4 linked regions of the Macaca mulatta genome follow. The protein of the gene in region 3 purifies or fractionates together with the protein of the main gene of each other region. This does not show direct contact. Links are inferred from orthologs where the notes say so. Each region holds a gene or a part of one and is shown on either strand. Other genes may lie near its edges.

Region 1 (4,361 bases), on a different chromosome or scaffold from region 3:
CTATTAGGTGTCTACTAAGTCTGGTGCTTAATAAGGAGGGAGGGAGGAAAGAGGGAGGCTGCTCACCTGGCACTAAAATTCCTTTAACACAGTAGACACACAATGGTGCACCAAAACTGCCTTTTCCCTGAAGGTTATCCTGTTTAGTGAAGTAGATGATCAATAAAGCTGTAAAAAGAAAAGCTCACGATGTCCCAGGGAAGGTGGTGGTGTAAAAGAGAAGCCTATTCCTGGGATATCCAATTGTTAATTATGGGGAAGGGAATATGGGCAAGAGTAGGAGCATGTGGGAAGACCAGGAGGCAAGAGAACACAGCGAGGTCAGAGAACTGCAAGCACCTCAGTACGGTCTGAAAGTAAAAGGAAGAAATGTAGAAGATGATTCTAGCTTAAAGCAGACTAGCACTTTAGAAAGATTATTAGAGGCTGGGCATGGTGGCTCATGCCTGTAATCTCAGCACTTTGGGAGACCGAGGCAAGCAGATCGCTTGAGTCCAGGAGTTAGAGAGCAGCCTGGGCAACATGGTGAAACTCCATCTCTACCAAATAAATAAATAAATAAAAATAGAAAGATTATTAGATCAACAGTGTAAAGAATGGGCAGACAAGAGGATGTGCTTCAGTAATCCTGGAAATAGCTTCCACCTAATGCTGTGGCAGTGGGAAAGAGAGAAACAAATAGCAGGAAAGAATAGGTGGGACTTGATGACTGACTAAATTTGAAGGGGAATGAATTTACAGCCAATTTCCAGTTTTCTGTGATATTGGAAGGGAGGGAGAAAATGGCAATCTTTCATTTCGTCTAAGCCAACTGGTTAAAATATTGCCTTCTATCCACATGCACCTTCCTAAAAACAAAAACGTCTTAACACTCAGAATTTGAGTGTTACTTTATTTCCCTCATACTTTCTAGTGTATCATCAGTTCTAATGAGAAACACCAAAAGATGAATAGCTAAAAAGCAAGAGAAAAGAGAAAAAAACAACTTCTGAACAAGCAATAATTGGCTTATGTCTTCTGCCAGAGTTATCACATTCAGTAGTATGGTATACACTTCAAGAGGAAAGGTATTACTCTTTCAAGGATACGCCGTCAAAACTGCAGTTTTGCAAAGGAAGAATGCAGGGATGTTGTAGTGTTCAAACATTAACTCTGTCAGTTTCTCTCTCTTTGCTCTAGTATTCCACTTGAGAAGAGGGGAAAAAGAAATGCAAGTTATTAAGAATTAAAAAGTTGATTTATCTCCAGATAAAATCTAGCACTATATTAACAAAGAAATAAAACAATAAGAACAGCAAAAAATACCATGGGAAATAATCTTTCATAATAATATCTCACAAAAATAAAAACAAAACCTCTATATTTCTTTAGATGTAGATTAAATTTAACAAATCAATCAGATAAGAATTAAAATTCTTTAATAATAAAATTGCTTCTATAAATTCTAGAAATTAGAGACTTTTCCACATATGAGGAAATCAGTATTCTTATAAACATATTATTAAATCTAAAGAGTAAATATGGTCAATCCAAATCCTAAGTATGAATTTTAGACCACCAAATTCTCCCACTTATAGATGGTATTCATAAAAGAAACTATAAGTTAGCAACAATAAGATACTGATAATTTATGACCATTATGCTTGCTTTCTGGGTCGTTTCTGTCTATGTACCAAATGTATTTCACAAGAGACTTTGGTCCAGAAATTTCCAGCCCTTGTTCAACATCTCAATTCTCTCTTGGAAACTTGAATAAAGTAGATATACGCTGCCCTTGGGGCACAAGAAATGATTCGTAATTCAAAATGGGAAGCAGTCCTAGGAAATAAAATGTTAAATCCCTAGAAATACATAAATAACCACAAGAATTCATTAGTGTGTTTTGTTGTTCTCTGCATATTTTATCAGAATAGTAAAATGAAAGTTACAATAGTATTAAAAAATTAATCTTTTTCCCTAATTTTCAAATTCAAAATATGAATTTCTGAATTTCTATGCCTCTTTATAGAAAAATATTCATCAAATGAGTAGAAAACTAAAGGAAAAAAGAAAAAAAAAAAAAAACAACTACAGAAACATGAAAAAGAAAATCTTTATCTCACCGGTGCCTCTGACATGAGAACAGGATGGAGGCTGGCTTCTGATTTGACATGCATTTTGTAGGTATGATCCAAAATAGCCTGGAAACTATCCCAGTCTTCAACTAGAATATAAGATTAGTAACTTGGAAACAATGCATAGTTGAAGATGAATACAACATATTTTGAGAAATTGTTTCTGTGACTTAACAATTAATACCGTATTATACAGAACCTACTGATTTTACAGATCAACTTCATACCACAGTACTTTATATAAAGATTACCTTTGTCTTCTAGATATATAGAACTTCTTTTTGGTCCCTCCAGCCCCCAGACCTATCCCAAATGTAATTAATCTAACAGACCTAAAATACCAAGTAAATGTTATTCAATTCAATAAATACTTATTAGAGGCCCAGAATGTGATCAGAATAACAGGAAGTACAGAAGAATTATATGGCCTTCTAAATGATACTACTGCTGGGTTTAAAAAAAAAAAAACAACAAAGATTTGTATGGTCTAGACCCAACACTCAAAAAAGCTTACAATCTATTTGGAAAAAGACTAAAAGACATGTTAAAAATTCAAAGAAGAACATCTGTCTTCAATTTGGCTTCCACCTAAACATTCCATTAAAACTACTGACATAAGTCATTAATGACCTTCTTTTTTTTGAGATGGAGTCTCACTCTCTCGCCCAGACTGGAGTACAATGGCGCAATCTCGGTTCACTGCAACCTCTGCTTTCTGGGGTCAAGCAATTCTCCTGTCTCAGGCTCCCAAGTAGCTGGGATTACAGGTGCCCGCCACCATGCCCAACTAATTTTTGCATTTTTAGTAGAGACAGGGTTTCACCATGTTGACTAGGCTGGTCTCTATCTCCTGACCTCAGGTGATCTACCCACCTCGGCCTCCAAAGTGCTGGGATTACAGGTGTGAGCCACCGCCCCCAGTCGCGAATGACCTTCTACTAGGCAAATTCATGGACACTTAACATTTTTAATCTCATCTGACTTCTCTAAATTATAACAGTATTGCCTTCACAAGAGTTTACAAACTTTTCTACTGCAGCCCAAAGAAAAAATGTCATTAATTATATATTTCCACAGGCCCACCTGGATTTTTTTAACTTCTTTCTTAGTGTAAAGCTTTCAATGTCACAGCGGAAAACACTGAGAATAAATGGAATTTTATGCTTCCAGAAACTTTTTCTTTTCTTATTCTTCCCCTGAATTTTTTCCTACATCCCTAATTGTTCCCTTTCATTCTCCTTTAAGGGTACCTTTTATTCTCTATTGGTTAAAATATACAAGTTTTTTGCTAAGAACTCCATCTTCAATCCTCTTCCCATATTCCAAATTTTTTCAGAGTAATAAAAAGCAATTCCATGTCTTAAAATCTTTCTTATAATCTTTTATTCCCCTGTTTACAGAATTGTCACCTGGATGTTCTAAGCACTTTTAACTTAGTGAACCCATTTACTTACTATACATGAAAGAGTTAACACTGCAAGCCTGAGAAAGGCCTGCTTGTAAAGCTCACTCTTAGCTGGTGTCTGGAAACACGATTGGCAAACAGTTCCCTATGTTCATATAAAACTTGTCCCTAAATGGTAAGAGTAGCTCGCTATACCTACACTGTTTGTACAATGTGGTTGGTTCTGAACACTTGCTTTCCTTCTGATAATCTAAAATTTTGTTACATGCCAGGTACATGGTACCTACATAACCAGCCCTCTGTAAAATCCTTGGGTACTGAGTTTCAGAGTTCTCCTGGAAGATAACACAGGTTGTAACTTGTTGATGGAGGGATTAAGCACATCCTGTGTGACTCCACTGTGAGAAAACTCTCCGAAGCTTGCATCTGGACTTCATCATCCCCTGTCCCTTTTCCCTTTGTCGATTTTGTTTTGAATCCGAATCTTCAGTACAATAAATCTTAGCTGTGAATACAACCATATGCTGAGTCCTGTGAGGGAGTCTTGCTGGTGAGTAACTGAACCTGAGAGTGATTTGGAGTATCCCTGATAACCTCGCTTTTTTCTTTTTCTTTCTTTTTTTTGAGACAGAATTTCGGTCTGTCACCCAGGTTGAAGTGCAGTCATGGGATCTCAGTTGCAACCTCTGCATCCTGGGTTCAAGTGATTCTCATGCCTTAGCCTCCTGAGTAGCTGGGATTACAGGTGGTATGTATCGCCACACCTGGCAAATTTTTGTATTTTTAGTAGAGATGGGGTTTCACCATGTTGCCCAGGCTGGTCTCGAACTCCTAGACTCAAG
Region 2 (5,070 bases), on a different chromosome or scaffold from region 3:
GAAGATGCGGTTTCAAGAAGCCACTACAGCCATGTAAGAGCCACTTGGCGAGCAGCCAGCGAGCACACGTCACTGTGTTGGAGGCTGCGGTGGGCGGGGCATGGGCAAAGGGCATTTCTTCTTTTTGTGAACAGTGCCTGCTACAGCTGGGCTTTTCAGACAGACCCAGGGAGGGCAGAACCAGTGGAGGCACGTGCAGGGGTCAGGAAGACCCACCGGGGCCGGCATCACTAAGGTGGGCCCTGAGGACCGGGTAGCCCTGGTGACATACACCTGTGGGCCCTGCCTGCCCACCACGGCCTACGGTCTCACCAAGAGACTGCACACCTGTGGGTCCTGCCTGCCCACCACGACCTACGGTCTCACCAAGAGACTGCACACCTGTGGGTCCTGCCTGCCCACCACGACCTACGGTCTCACCAAGAGACTGCACACCTGTGGGTCCTGCCTGCCCACCACGACCTATGGTCTCACCAAGAGACTGCGTTCCCTAAGGCGGTGTGCAGAGGGCACGGTGACAGCCCTGGGGAAAGGCCGCAGGCACCTCGAGTTCTCATCCACATGGCAGGAACCCATGGACACTGAGGGTGTCAGTTGGGAGCGCCACAGGCACAGAACCAGGCAAGGAAGAAGAGCAGATGGAGCAGGGCCACCCGAGTGCTTGCCAGGCACTGCCCTCCTGAGGTCACACAGACCAGAGGGAGAGACCGGGAGCCAGGGAAAAGTGGAGCTGGCGGGAAGGGCCCTGGACTGGGAGGCGATTCAGGAGACAGGGGCTTCTACTCGGCAGTTTGGGTGCTGTATGGAACAGGCAGTCAGGCCACATTTGTGCTCCTCAAAATCTCCTGGGCCAGCTGGTCAGCCTCTCGGGGGTACTCCAGGGGCTCTGTATTTCATAAGGTCTGAAAGACTCAGATCTCAGTCACACAGAAGTGTCATGGTCCAGAGAAAGTGCCAGCCTGTGGTCTTGCCCAGTCCTTACTGATGTCATAGGCCACTGCAGGAATAAGGAACAGGGCCACAGTCCTAGGGCTGAAAGGCCTGGCGGTCCCACATGGCTTCCTGAGTGTCATGTGGGCTGCTGTGCTCATCTGAGCCAGCACCCATGCCCCAGGGGACATTATGGGCCTTGGAGCTGTTTGTCTTCCCCAGAGACAGGCATAGATTTACACCGATCTCTCCAAATCCCGGTGTGGGAGGTGTCTGGGGACCTAGCGCCCTCTCCCACAACCAAGAAGCTGCTGGGAGTTTGGTGACAGGGGGCCTCTGACCCTGAGGGGTGGTGACCAGAGTTCAATGGCTGATGGATACGCTCTAGGGAGGAGCGGGTCCAGGGAGGACCTTGTGAGCTTAGTAGCCAGCTGTGTCTGGGCCACTAGGTACTGGTCACCCAGTGCAAATGCCGCACTGGCTCAGAACGTCCTCAACACACGAGGCGGCAGCAACAGGGGCTTAAGCTTCCAGGGCATTTCTAGGGCTGAGCATCCTTCCTCTCCTCAGACAGCCAGGCCCCTGCACGGCTGGCATCTCTGTCCCCTTTCTACAGCTATGACAAGGAGACCCACATCACTCCACCAATGTCAACGGCAAGCATTCCTTGCCTCAGTGGTGCCCCTATGTCTTCCTGGAAGGGCTGGTGTGGCCCTGAGTCCAGCGTGGCTGGCACAGACTCTCCTTCCACCAGCACAGGTCCCCACTCCTCCTGGTCACCTGACCCCTGACCCCCACCCCATTCTCCAAGCACACCACCTTCTTTCAACTCCTGGACCCACCACCTCCTGCTGCCACAGAGCCTGCAACACCCACCTGTCTCTTGTGGCCAGCCTGCTTACCTAGCTAACGCGCTCGCCCGTCACACACTGCCAGCTCCAAGCTCTGTGAGGACTGGGACTCTATTTGCCTGACTCCCACAGAAGCCACCAAATTCACCTTGGTGTGACTCAGATAGGGTCACCCTCTGCCTAAAGCACTTCTGGGGCATCCCGGGAGGCTGACAAGGGCCTAAGGGCCTGGGGACTCTGCATCCTTCCCTCCCTCCCCAGGGTCTCAGCTGGAGGCTCTGGCCCAGCACCCAGTCTAAAGCAGGCCCCCTGAAAAGCTGGCCAGCTGCTAGCATTGTGTTTGTGCTTTCCATGACAGGCTCTGGAGCCCTGGGATGCCCTCCTTAAGGATGGGTCTCACTGCAGGGGGCTCTGCCCAGCAGACCCCAGCAGGCATGGAGGGGCCTCTGCTCTGCCCAGCTCAGGCTGACCCTCAGCGGTGTGTGGGTTCGTGCCCCCATCGGGCAGCACAGGGAGGGTGGTTGGGCTCACCAGTGCCTGCATGTCGTACATGGTGCTCAGGTGGTCCCAGATGACCTTGGATGGGACCTGCCGCCCGATGTTCTGGCTGAACTTGTCCCGGATACAAATCATGTGGAAGTGTCGGTTCACACCTGGGGGGAGGAGGGGCGGCGGGACAACCGGTCAGAGGGGAGGAGAAGGAGAAAGGGGATGGAGGGGACAGGGTGCCCTGGGGACTGGAGGGGCAAGGGTGGCCGCGGTGGGATGGGGTGGGCCAGGGTGCGGAGGGGCTGTCGGGGGGCAGGGCTGGGTGGTGTGTGTGGGAGGGGGTGGGGCGTCCCGGGGCAGAGGTGGGGGTGGGGCGCTGCGGGCTGGGGCCTCGCGGTGTCACGGGGGTAGGGGCCGGGGGCGGGGTCCGGGGCGGGGTCCGAAGGGCGCGTGGGAGGGGGCGGGGGTCCCGGGACGGGTGTGGCGGGGGTGTCACGGCCCGGGCTCGGCGGGGCGCGTGGGGGCGCGGGTGTCGCGAGCGCAGGCCCCGCCCCGCCCCGCCGGTTGCCCGCCCCGCCCCCACGCGCGTCCGCGGCCTGGGCGCTCACCGACGGGCTTGTGGCCCAGCATGGCGTGGAAGAGGCACACCTCCACCTCGGGGCTCCACACCACTGTCTCCTCCGCCGGGCTGGTGGCCGCCTCCCCTGGGCCCTTGTCGCCTGCGGCGCCCCCGCCGCCCACCTCGGCCTCTCCCATGGCCGCGGCCCGGCCGAGCAAGGAGCCCCCGGCGGGAGCAGGCGCGGCCACGAGCTCCGCGCAGGCGCACTCGGGGGCGGGCGCGCGCTCCGCCAGGCACGAGCTCGGGCTCACGCGCCGGCGTCGGCGCAGGCGCAGCCGAGGCCTCGGGTTCCTTCCCGCCGGGGACTCCGCCCTGCTCCGCCCCGTGCGGGGGTGCTTAAAACGTGTTCCTCTTTAAAGCACAGTAAGTGTTCTAACACTTCACCCAAACAACAACAGAAAACTTTTTTGCTTCAAAGAAAACCATCAGCAAAGTGAAAAGACGACCCACAGATTGGGAGAAAGTATTTGCAAATCCTGTATCTGATAAGGAACTTCCTTGCAGAAGGTATAAATATAACTCTATAATAAAAAGACAGTCTAACTATAAAACGGCAAAGGATTTGGATACACATTTTTCCAAAGAAGATGTACAGATGGGCCGGGCGCGGTGGCTCACGCCTGTAATCCCAGCACTTTGGGAGGCCGAGGCGGGAGGATCATCTGAGGTCAGGAATTCGAGACCAGCCTGGCCAACATGGCATAATCCCGTCTCTACTAAAAATACAAAAAAATTAGCCGGCCGTGGTGGCGGGCGCCTGTAATCCCCGTTACTTCGAGAGGCTGAGGCAGGAGAATCGCTTGAACCCGAGAGGCGGAGGTTGCAGTGAGCGGAGATCGCGCCATTGCAATCCAGCTTGGGCAACAAGAGAGAAACTCCGACTCGGGAAAAAGAAAAAAAAAGATGTATAGATGGCCAATGAACACCATCGGTCACGCGAAACGCGAACCAGCCCGCGTGGGGACCCCCTTCCCCGCCGAGACCGCCGCAACTACGCGGCCGGGGTGGCGAGTACTGCGAGGATCCGGACTCGGGACCCTCGTGCGGTCGTGCTGTGGGGCCAGATGGAGTCGCTGCTGCGAAAGACAGAACGGCCGTTCCTTCAACGATGGAACCGTCTCCCTAGGAGGCAGCAGCTCCGTGGCGGGCGCCCGCAACGGTGGAACAAGACACAGGTTCAGGCTGGGATCCGCAGCCGCAAGGCTAGCGCCGCCCCCAACCGGGGCTGAACCGGCTAGGGGCGCACGGAGCGCGGGCACCCGCACGGCGCAGCCGCGTTCAGCCTAAAAGCCGCGAGCGCGGACTGCGGCAGCGTGGGTGCGGGCTGAGACGAAAGTCAGAGAATTCAGACACCAAAATACGCAGCATGGGAATCCATTCACAGGAAGAGCCAGAACTGGCAACTCCATAGAAATAGAAAGTAGACGCACAGTTGCCGGGGACGGGGGAGGGGGAGGGAAACGCGAGTCACTGCGGATGGGGATCGGCTTCTTTTTTGTTTCTGAGGCAGAGTCTCGCTCTGTTGCCCAGGCTGGGGTGCAATGGCGCGATCTTGGCTCACTGCAACCTCTGCCTCTCGGGTTCAAGCAATTCTCCCGACAGACTCCCGAGAAGCTGGGACCACAGGCCCTCACTACGGCCGGCTAATTTTTGTATTTTTAGTAGAGATGCGGTTTCACCATGTTGGCCAGGCTGGTCTCGAACTCTTGACCTCAGGTGATTCCCCCCCTCCTCGGCCTCCCAAAGTGCTGGGATTACAGGCTTGAGCCACCGCGCCGGGCTACGGCCCAGCTTCTTTTTAAGGAGGTGAAATGCTCTGGAATTAGATAATGGCCACGGTTGCTCGCAACAGAACCCCACCGAATCGTGCGCTTTAAGCGGGTGAACTCTATGATCTCAATAAAGGTGCTAAGGAAAAAACAAAACCAGCAATCCCACAATTACTGCAGGCATAGAGCTCACTGCCCGGGTCTGGGCGCGGGATCGAGGGCCTCACGCCAGCCTCCGGAGTCCAGCGCCTCCTGGGAGCAGGGGCAAGGAGGGGGTCCGGCCCTGCCGGCCTTGACCGCCTGCCTCCGACTCCCGGCCGCCCAGCCCGAGCTCTGGGGAAGCGTTAACCGCGGATCTCTGCGGAAGCCCCACCGCGGGGCGGGGCCGGGGCCGGGAGGTGCAGAGGGGGCG
Region 3 (4,361 bases):
ATGTCAGTGAATCTAAATTACATTATTTCCCAACACAGACATAAAATTATTAAAATTTGTCATGTCACTTGTACATTAAGTCAACTGAATAATGTATCTGGTTTTCCTTTTTCTTCTTTCTCAATATGTATACTTTAACCAGGTAGAGAAACTGTATGATTCATTAATCCTGAAAGATTTTATTTCCCCTTATTCCAACACAAACAAACAAAGCAATCGTATTTAAGAAAATTAACTTACCTAGTGTATTTTCCTTAGAGGCATCTGACGTAAGGGTGGATAGAAGAGCTTCAGATTTAAACTTCTTTTCAGGAATATGATCTGTTGTCGTATGGTGAGAAGTTGGATTATATTTCCTTTCTAAATATAAATAAAGAATTCACGTGTTTTTAAATTTTAGAGAACTATGGACAAGGCATAATACTTATATCCAGCTATAATGTGAAACAGTATGATCTGGGTTCCTCATAAAATACAGAACATGATGCTTCCTCAGAAGCCAGGACAAGTAGAACTCTGTGTCACATGTTTATTAAGAGTAGACTTCTCCACCATTTAAAAAACTTCAGTAGCGAAGTACTAAAGATAACTCAAGATACACCATGGGCTCACATACAATGTGAGGGAAACTTTGTTTTCAAAACATCATCTACCACTTAGAATAGTGTTCAGTCAACTATCTTTTCCCACCAAATTGATGTGTCAAAAGAAGCACTGATACAGTCATTTTTTGACTGTATCAACTAGCCAGCAGTCATCTGACTAACAATTCATCCACTCACTGACTTACCAACCATTCAGACTTAATTATATGCCAAACATTAGGTTAAGCACTGGAGAAGCAAGGATAAAAAAGACAAAGGGCCTATTACAAAATAGTTTATTGTTTGGCTCAGTTGAATAAGGAGAATCAGGTATGTGTATGAAGGGAATATATGTTATTACAATATACGCTTAGCTCCCTAAGGAGAATCAGGTATGTGTATGAAGGGAATATATGTTATTAGAATATACGCTTAGCTCCCTAAGGAGAATCAGGTATGAGTATGAAGGGAATACATGTTATTAGAATATATGCTTAGCTCCCTAAGGAGAATCAGGTATGTGTATGAAGGGAATATATGTTATTAGAATATATGCTTAGCTCCCTAAGGAGAATTAGATATGTGTATGAAGGGAATATATGCTATTAGAATATATGCTTAGCTCCCTAAGGAGAATCAGGTATGAGTATGAAGGGAATACATATTATTAAAATATATGCTTAGCTCCCTAAGAAGAATCAGGTATGCGTATGAAGGGAATATATGTTATTAGAATATATGCTTAGCTCCCTAAGGAGAATCAGGTATGTATATGAAGGGAATATATGCTATTAGTACTATACATTCTCCCTCTACACATTTAAGAGAAAACAGAATACTCATTTCCGAATCACCTATGCTCTCCTCAAGGAAAAAGATAAGTCTGCCAGTACTTGCAATAAAAAAAAAAAAAGAAGGGATTTACTTCTCAATTGGTTGTATAGAGTTAAAAAAAGAGAACATACAGATGATATAATAAGGTTTTCATTGTTTTTAAAACTTAGCTGCACTACACCAAACTTACTTTCCACTGGAGTATGTGAATGAGCATGGTGATTGTTCACCGGCTGTGAAGGAGTGTCTAATTCCAAAGATCCTAAAAGAAGAGAGGCACAGAGATACACCACCATTAAATGTCACCGCAGAACTTCACATATCACTCAACTACAGGCAATGAGTTCCCTTACCCAGCAGAGGACTAGCAAGTTCTGATGCATATGCCTGTATTATTTTAGCCAGACATGTTAGAGGATCACCACTGTCCATCCCACACTGAGTATATCCTCTCTCTAAACAATAAGTTATCCCTTTCCCAATATTTACCTTAAGTACAATATGGCTCAAGGAATACTCGTGTCTAATTAGGGAATTCACCACAGTGGGTGGCATATAAATGAATGAATGGACATTGTAATCTCATTACTGGTAAGAGTCAATCTAGTTTTACTGACTTGAAGATGTTTTAATGGGAGATTCTAAAGTTCTATGTGATGGGGGACATTACTATATGAAAAAAATTATTTGATCATTAAAATGACATTATGGTAATAAAGACTTCCTAAAAGAAGTTAGGGATTTGTTTGCAAAAAGTGAGGAATAGAATTTGTAACACCAAGCTTTAAAACACCTCTAAATAAATTTTTCTGGGTTTATTTTTGATCCCTTGAGATGAAATTATGGCAGGGCACAGGGTGGAGCAGTTTTTATAACTTGATCCAATTTTGTTTCATATGTCTGTGTCCTTAGAGAGGATGCTTTAGTAACCTTCCTGCAGTACTGAATAGGCATGAATTATCATTACTCACAGCTATCATCAGCATTTTTTAAAAATCAAAGCAGCTACAGAATTTTTAATTTTGTCTCAAAATACTTATTATCTTTATATAGGGTTCCTCCAGAAGAAAAGTATCACAAATAAATAGATGATTATCTAAAGTGATGCATCTACTTTTGAACACAAAAATGCAACTATAGACACCAAGACAGATCTGTGATTGGCTTCCCTAGCTGACTTCTAGTGACTATATAGAGAGATACATAGATTGGCACTGTAAAGAAACCTTTCATCTGTGTGTAGAAACAGGTATATATTCTTGCTGTTGAAATGCATCAAGAAAAAATATGTTTGAAAGTTTTAATTAAATTCTAGTAGAAATTAGCCATAATACTAACTTGGTTCAATTAACATCCAGTGAGTGCCTACTCTATACCAAGTACCACACTAACTGCTTTTATGTATATTACCTATTTAGGTTGGAGGAAATGCTAAATTAGTCAAGGAAACAGTGCTCACGCTTCCATTTTTGGGAAGACACACCAAAGAAGTGACAGGGGTAAGTTATAGCAGGAGATCAAATAGAGCCTTGCAAAGAAATATTAAAATGGTTTCTTGCTGATAAGGGAAAGAGGGAAACACTTCTTTAAGAAAAAGAGGTAGTGTTATGAAACCAATGGAATCTTTTTCAGTATATGCAGTTAAGGAAAAGCCATAAAACAATTCTTAAGAAACTAACAACCTTCCTCAAAGCTTAAGTGTATAAAGAGGCAGAGTAAAGTCAACATACTTAATGCAAGATGGTTAATTTGTGTCCCGATGGTTACGTTTCTTTAAATTTGTTCTTACCACTCAACTTACTAATATATGTGAATATAAAATTATTTAATATGTTATTTCATAAAGAGTGAGTGGATGATATCCTATATTATCTCTCTCAGTATCCATGACCCAAACATTTCCAACTGCTAGGGTCCAAGCTATCTGACCTGGATGCCACCATCCACTGAAGGGCAGGTTTCAAAAGCCTCTGTGAGACAAGGTCTTCTCAGTGATTTGCACATGTACTGTCCAATATTGATGGAAAACTGTAAATTTTACTTACGCCTCTCTAATATTTCTGTAATTCCAGCATTATCAGCTTCCAGCTCCATTTTAAACTTAGCCAGTTCCTGATCCAGCTTTCTCAAGTGTCGATCTACCTGTTTCAAAGAAGATCAAAGATAACCACCAAAATTTGGGACACTGTTAAAGTGTCAGTTTAATGAGGAAACCTAAATCTTTGTTTCTTTTAGTCAATCTGCTTAGTATCCTTGAGCAAGTCAATTAACCTATGCCTCAGAGGTTTTTAATCTATAAAATGAGGGTGCTAGGCTAAATAATCTCCGAAGTCTCCTTTAATAAATTTTAAGTTCTAAGACCCAGACTCTCAACTTGTTAGGAAATGTTCTATACTCCATTTTCAGAAGTAAGGACGTGAAAATTAAAGCAAAACTGATTAGGGATTAGAGAATGGGAGGAGGGGATGGTGGAGGCTGGTCACTTTTCATAATACGCCCTGTGATTACTTAGAGCCTAATCTCCTCCTACTTATAAGGCCATCATCCACACTGTCACTGTCACACGATAAAAGCTATTATTTAGAATGATGAAAGATCCTCAGTCTACAAAGAAGTTCCTATATTCTATACATTTATTTCTCTAAGGCATGAGAGTGAATCATAATGCTTGTAAACACTTATGTGAAGAGGTGAAACAAAAGGGGTTGTTAGTCAGAAAACTCCATTCCTCAAAGGGCCTGGTTAAAATTATTTTATTTAAAATACAATTTCCCTAGTTAATGTGGCAAAATTTTATTTTGTCACTGAGAGATCTTTTGACTAGCTTCAGAAAATTGTATGACGCCTCAAGCTAACAAAAAAGTCTTAATGTATTTTTTAAGCTTAATATTAAAGTTTTTAATACTTTTTCAAACTACTTTGAAGTGAAACAAAAAAACACAC
Region 4 (4,361 bases), on a different chromosome or scaffold from region 3:
ACTGAAACACACACACACACCTTGCTATGCTGCTGATGGCACTGCTGGGAGTAACCTTTGGCACTCTGTCCATACTGGCAGCAACTGTGGCAAGTTTTAAGGCTGTTGGCGATGGTGCTGAAGTCCGTGTATTGATATGCACATTGACTGGAGAAACAACACTGACATTATTGAGGTGCACTGCATTTGTCAGGCAGGAATTGTTCATGGGAAGTGTCTGAGGACTGCTTGTGCACAATGCTGGGATTAAGTGGTTTGTAGTGGTGTGGCCAACTGTCCTTACAAGTTGTACAGCTGAAATCCCTGGGCTAGATGATAAAGCCATATTGGTGGAGTATAATGTTTTAGAGGTTCCTGAAAAACAAAAAAGTCATTCAATTAGTATCATGAGACATCAATAAAACTATTTTTAGAAGTTTAATAAAAATAAATACAAATATTTGTATTTGAATTGAATGCCAAGTTAACTTTTCACACACCGATCTCTCCAAAGGGAGCTTCTGATCACTAAGTAGAATGTACTAATCTGCTACAACCCCCAAAACATCCTCTTTCTACTGGTCTACAAAAAAGAGCTTTGCGAAGTATCCTGCTGCCTATATCTGGCAACTGTGGAGTTAAGTATAACAGGACAGATGGAAATGACAGTTGGGTTTCCCTAAGAATGCACACATGCATGAATATTAGTAAAAATGGACAATCAGGCTCATGAGTATATATAAAAGCAACTGGAAAATCCTAGGGTCTGAGAGGTAGCTGAAGGATGATAGGAATAGCAAGTTTTTGCGGACTCAAGGTACTAAGAAGCAGACAGGGTTTCATGGCAATACTCTTTCTAAAGAGGCGGAGCCAGAGGAAGTATGCCTATGAGTGGTATGTAAGAGTGGGAGGGCAAACCTGATTTCCAGTTTATTACTGTCCTGGGTTATATTTCACCTTTTTATCAATGCATGGATGATTCAATGGGGATGGTTAGCTCAACAGATTTCCTAAGATGTGAGGCAACTAACAGTATGTGAATGAAACCAGGAAGGGTAGAGTGTTACACAGGTTATGTATTCAATGGATGAGGGAGAAAACAAGGAGTAGATTCTATGTGAATTCTAGAAACATCTAGCTATTTCTCCCTATCTTTCCAAAGAAATCCTAAAGAGTCCTGATTGACTTCTTATACACATTTTCTCCTTGGATAAAAAAACAAAAACCATACTCCCAATTACTGAGTTACAACTTCAAGAAAGTAGGTACCATGTGAAACCCCAGCTGTACCTGAAGGCTGGACAACACCGTTTATGTTGTTGTGGCCAGTGTTCTGTTCCTTGGCTACCTCACTGCGACTTGGAACAGGTGCACTGACCACTGCAGATGCAGCAAAGTGGGCGCTTGCTGAGTCAAGTGTTTTAGACATACAGTCAGAGGTGCTTGAGCCCTATAGAATGAACAAAGTTAAATTCTCTAATTTTTAGATGTAATTTTATGAACATATTAAGGGATGGGGCAAACCCAAGAGGCTGTTGCCTTTCTAACCTTGAACAATTATAAGTGTTTAGATTAAGAGATCTAGGATTCCATAGACGATTTTTGGTAAATGAAGCAGGGAAGTGAACAAAAACTGGGAATTTATTTCTGAGAAAGAACTAGAGATTAAATAACCCAAGGCTTTAATGTTCTATTAATTTTTCCAGTAAATATTAATGAATGCTTTTAAAAATGCTTGACAAACTAGATACTTGGATAAAATGAAATCAAAGATATAATTAATAGATATTTTTGTCACAACGTGAAAAGCTATCTTGGCCTAACCCTGAAACAGGCTGAAACTACTTTAGGCTGGTTAACCAAGAGACTGAGAAAAGTTTAAATAGCCATTCCTCCTTCATTCTGTATAAAACTGGTTACTAAATCCTACAGCCCTAGTCCTTGAGCAAGTCCCAGATACACCTGGATGTCACAGGAGTGTTGGGTTCCAAAGTCACTGAGATACTCATGTTACTGGAGTCAGGGTCTTTAAAGTCAGTGTACTGACCCTTTGAGAATGGGCTGAACCACAACGGGCAGATTCTAGCCTGCGAGCTCACAAAATATAACCAAGATTGAGTAAATCTCAGTTACTACTTTAGAAGTGGTTTTAGAATTATAGAGCAATAAAATTTAAGACCTAAAATGCAAGGTTTATGTTTTTCAGGTGGTTCAAATTTGAAATAAGATTTCTTAGTTTTGTTTTTAGTGGCTTAAAATAGAAATTTATCATCATATAGTTCTGTAGGCCAGAAGTCCACAATGAAGCTTATGGGGTTAAAATCAAGGTGTTGGCAAGGCTGGTTCCTTCTGGCAATTATGGTTTTATGAAGTATTTTTATTCTTATCTCTAGCATCTTTATTTAGTGGTGTCTACAAACAACTTCCCTTAGTGGCAATTTTCTTCTTCATTTTTAAAAACTTTTATTTATTTATTTATTTATTTTTTTGAGACACAGTCTGACTCCATCACCCAGGCTGGAGTGCAGTGGCGCGATTTAGCTCACTGAAACTTCCCCTTCAGAGTTCAAGTGATTCTCATGCTCCAGTCTCCCAAGTAGCTGGGCTTACAGGTATGTACCACCATGCCCAGTTAATTTTTGTATTTTTAGTAGAGACAGGGTTTTGCCATGTTGGCCAGGCTGATCTCGAACTTCCGACCTCAAGTGATCTGCCTGCCTCAGCTGCCCAAAGTGCTGGGATTACAGGCGTGAGCCACCGTGCCTGGCTGCAATTTTCTTCAACAGGAAAATGTGATTCACAATGGCAAGGCATTATGCTGTTAATATATTGCACAATTCAACTGAATTACTGCCCAGCTTATGAAGCACATCCACATGGCACTTAAACACATAGTTTAGGAAGTGGTTAGGAAAGTTATATCTTTCAAAAAAATCTTCTTTGGGGGAGTAGAGGTGGAGAATGATTCTTACAACTGCATATATAATTACTTCTATAAATTCTTAACAACCCTTCAAAAAATTTAAAATACCGTATCTGGCTCCAGAACTCTTCTCAAAGTATTAAGAGACTAGTTTATAAGCTAGTCACTTAAAATTACGTACATTAACTGAAAAGAAATTCAGGTTAGAGCCCCCAAATCAAGAGTGGCAAAACCAAGATTATCTTCTTGGTATCTGACTTGACTAAAATGGAATAAAACTACATACTGATGAAAGAAACAGACATAACTATGACAAAAAGAGCAGTTTACCTGTGCTTTTGGATGTGTCTGTTGCGAGGAATGCTGAGATTGCTGTTTCTGCTGAAGCTGGGCAAGTTGCTGCCTTTGCATCTGAACTAACTGCTGCTGATGTGTCTGAAACTGCTCTTCCGTGATACCCCCTGTTACTGGTAAACAACATGAATTTTGGAAATGAGTACGTTTTAAAAGATTTTTAATAACATAAGCAGAATATAAATTTACTCCACAATTAAGATGAAAGCAATAACAAACTACAATATGGATTATCAGAAAATAATCTAATGAAAATGAAATCTTTCATCAAGTATGCTTGTATCTGTGATCTCCATCACATGCTAAGAAAAGTGTCTAAATGTAGTTTTTGTTGAATAATATAGTTCTAACATGAATATTTTACCATTTATTCAGACTTAACATCTTTGAGACCACCCTTAATTCTCTACATTATGACGAGCAAGTAATGAGAAAAACTTTGATTTATTCATGTTAATAGTAATAAAATAATCACTAAGTTATAGCCTTAATAAGAAAGTAGGACCATCTGCAAGACTGTCAATGATTTTTACTGCTGGTTTCATATAATATTGAAGTGAAAATATTTTATTCTCTGATTACAAATCAAAGTAGAGAGCAACATTCATCTAACATAACCATAAACTATAATTTAAGACAACAGATTCAATGTCTGAAGTAAATCCATCTATAAAAATATGGGCTAGAAATCAGACAAGTATTCAGAAAACTGAAGATAATATGTATCCTCAGATGTAATAAATTCTATTGTGACCAACTATGTTAAAAGTGTGTTTCAAATGAAAACAAAATATTTTGTTGTTTTTAACAACAACAAAAATACTTTTGGGTTGGTAGATCATAGATAAAATATTGCCAACCAGCTGCGTTTTTTGAAAAAATCAGCTAAGTTACAGAAACCATTTTTCTCAAAGAAATGTAAACAAAATTTCATTCGTTGATATTTCAGCAGATGATTGATAAATTGATTTAGAGAACACAAAGACATTTCCATGGAAGTCAGTACAATATTAGAGTCAAGAAAAATTAAATGACATGAGAAGAAATGTACTTTAGAGTAATTTTGCTCTATTTTTTAACTGCTCACTTTCCTTTCTCCCAATTA

Evidence for each region.
Region 1: the proteins of ING3 (region 3) and ACTL6A purify together in Homo sapiens (affinity purification with western blotting; 3 studies listed by BioGRID and IntAct, with this or other methods). This does not show direct contact. The link is inferred for Macaca mulatta from reciprocal best matches to the Homo sapiens genes ING3 and ACTL6A.
Region 2: the proteins of ING3 (region 3) and MRGBP purify together in Homo sapiens (co-immunoprecipitation; 4 studies listed by BioGRID and IntAct, counting the BioPlex papers as one, with this or other methods). This does not show direct contact. The link is inferred for Macaca mulatta from reciprocal best matches to the Homo sapiens genes ING3 and MRGBP.
Region 4: the proteins of ING3 (region 3) and EPC2 purify together in Homo sapiens (affinity purification with mass spectrometry; 3 studies listed by BioGRID and IntAct, with this or other methods). This does not show direct contact. The link is inferred for Macaca mulatta from reciprocal best matches to the Homo sapiens genes ING3 and EPC2.

Annotation. Positions count from the first base shown.
Region 1 is NC_133407.1:91,581,939-91,586,299, reverse strand, and holds part of ACTL6A (actin-like protein 6A), read right to left. Parts: intron 2,204-4,361; coding exon 2,103-2,203; intron 1,187-2,102; coding exon 1,089-1,186; intron 1-1,088.
Region 2 is NC_133415.1:115,606,042-115,611,111, reverse strand, and holds the start of MRGBP (MRG/MORF4L-binding protein), read right to left. Parts: upstream 3,099-5,070; 5' UTR 3,027-3,098; coding exon 2,879-3,026; intron 2,435-2,878; coding exon 2,313-2,434; intron 1-2,312.
Region 3 is NC_133408.1:160,738,702-160,743,062, reverse strand, and holds part of ING3 (inhibitor of growth protein 3), read right to left. Parts: intron 3,561-4,361; coding exon 3,464-3,560; intron 1,681-3,463; coding exon 1,609-1,680; intron 361-1,608; coding exon 241-360; intron 1-240. UniProt on the Homo sapiens protein: Component of the NuA4 histone acetyltransferase (HAT) complex which is involved in transcriptional activation of select genes principally by acetylation of nucleosomal histones H4 and H2A.
Region 4 is NC_133417.1:53,776,961-53,781,321, reverse strand, and holds part of EPC2 (enhancer of polycomb homolog 2), read right to left. Parts: intron 3,370-4,361; coding exon 3,233-3,369; intron 1,430-3,232; coding exon 1,270-1,429; intron 355-1,269; coding exon 21-354; intron 1-20. UniProt on the Homo sapiens protein: May play a role in transcription or DNA repair.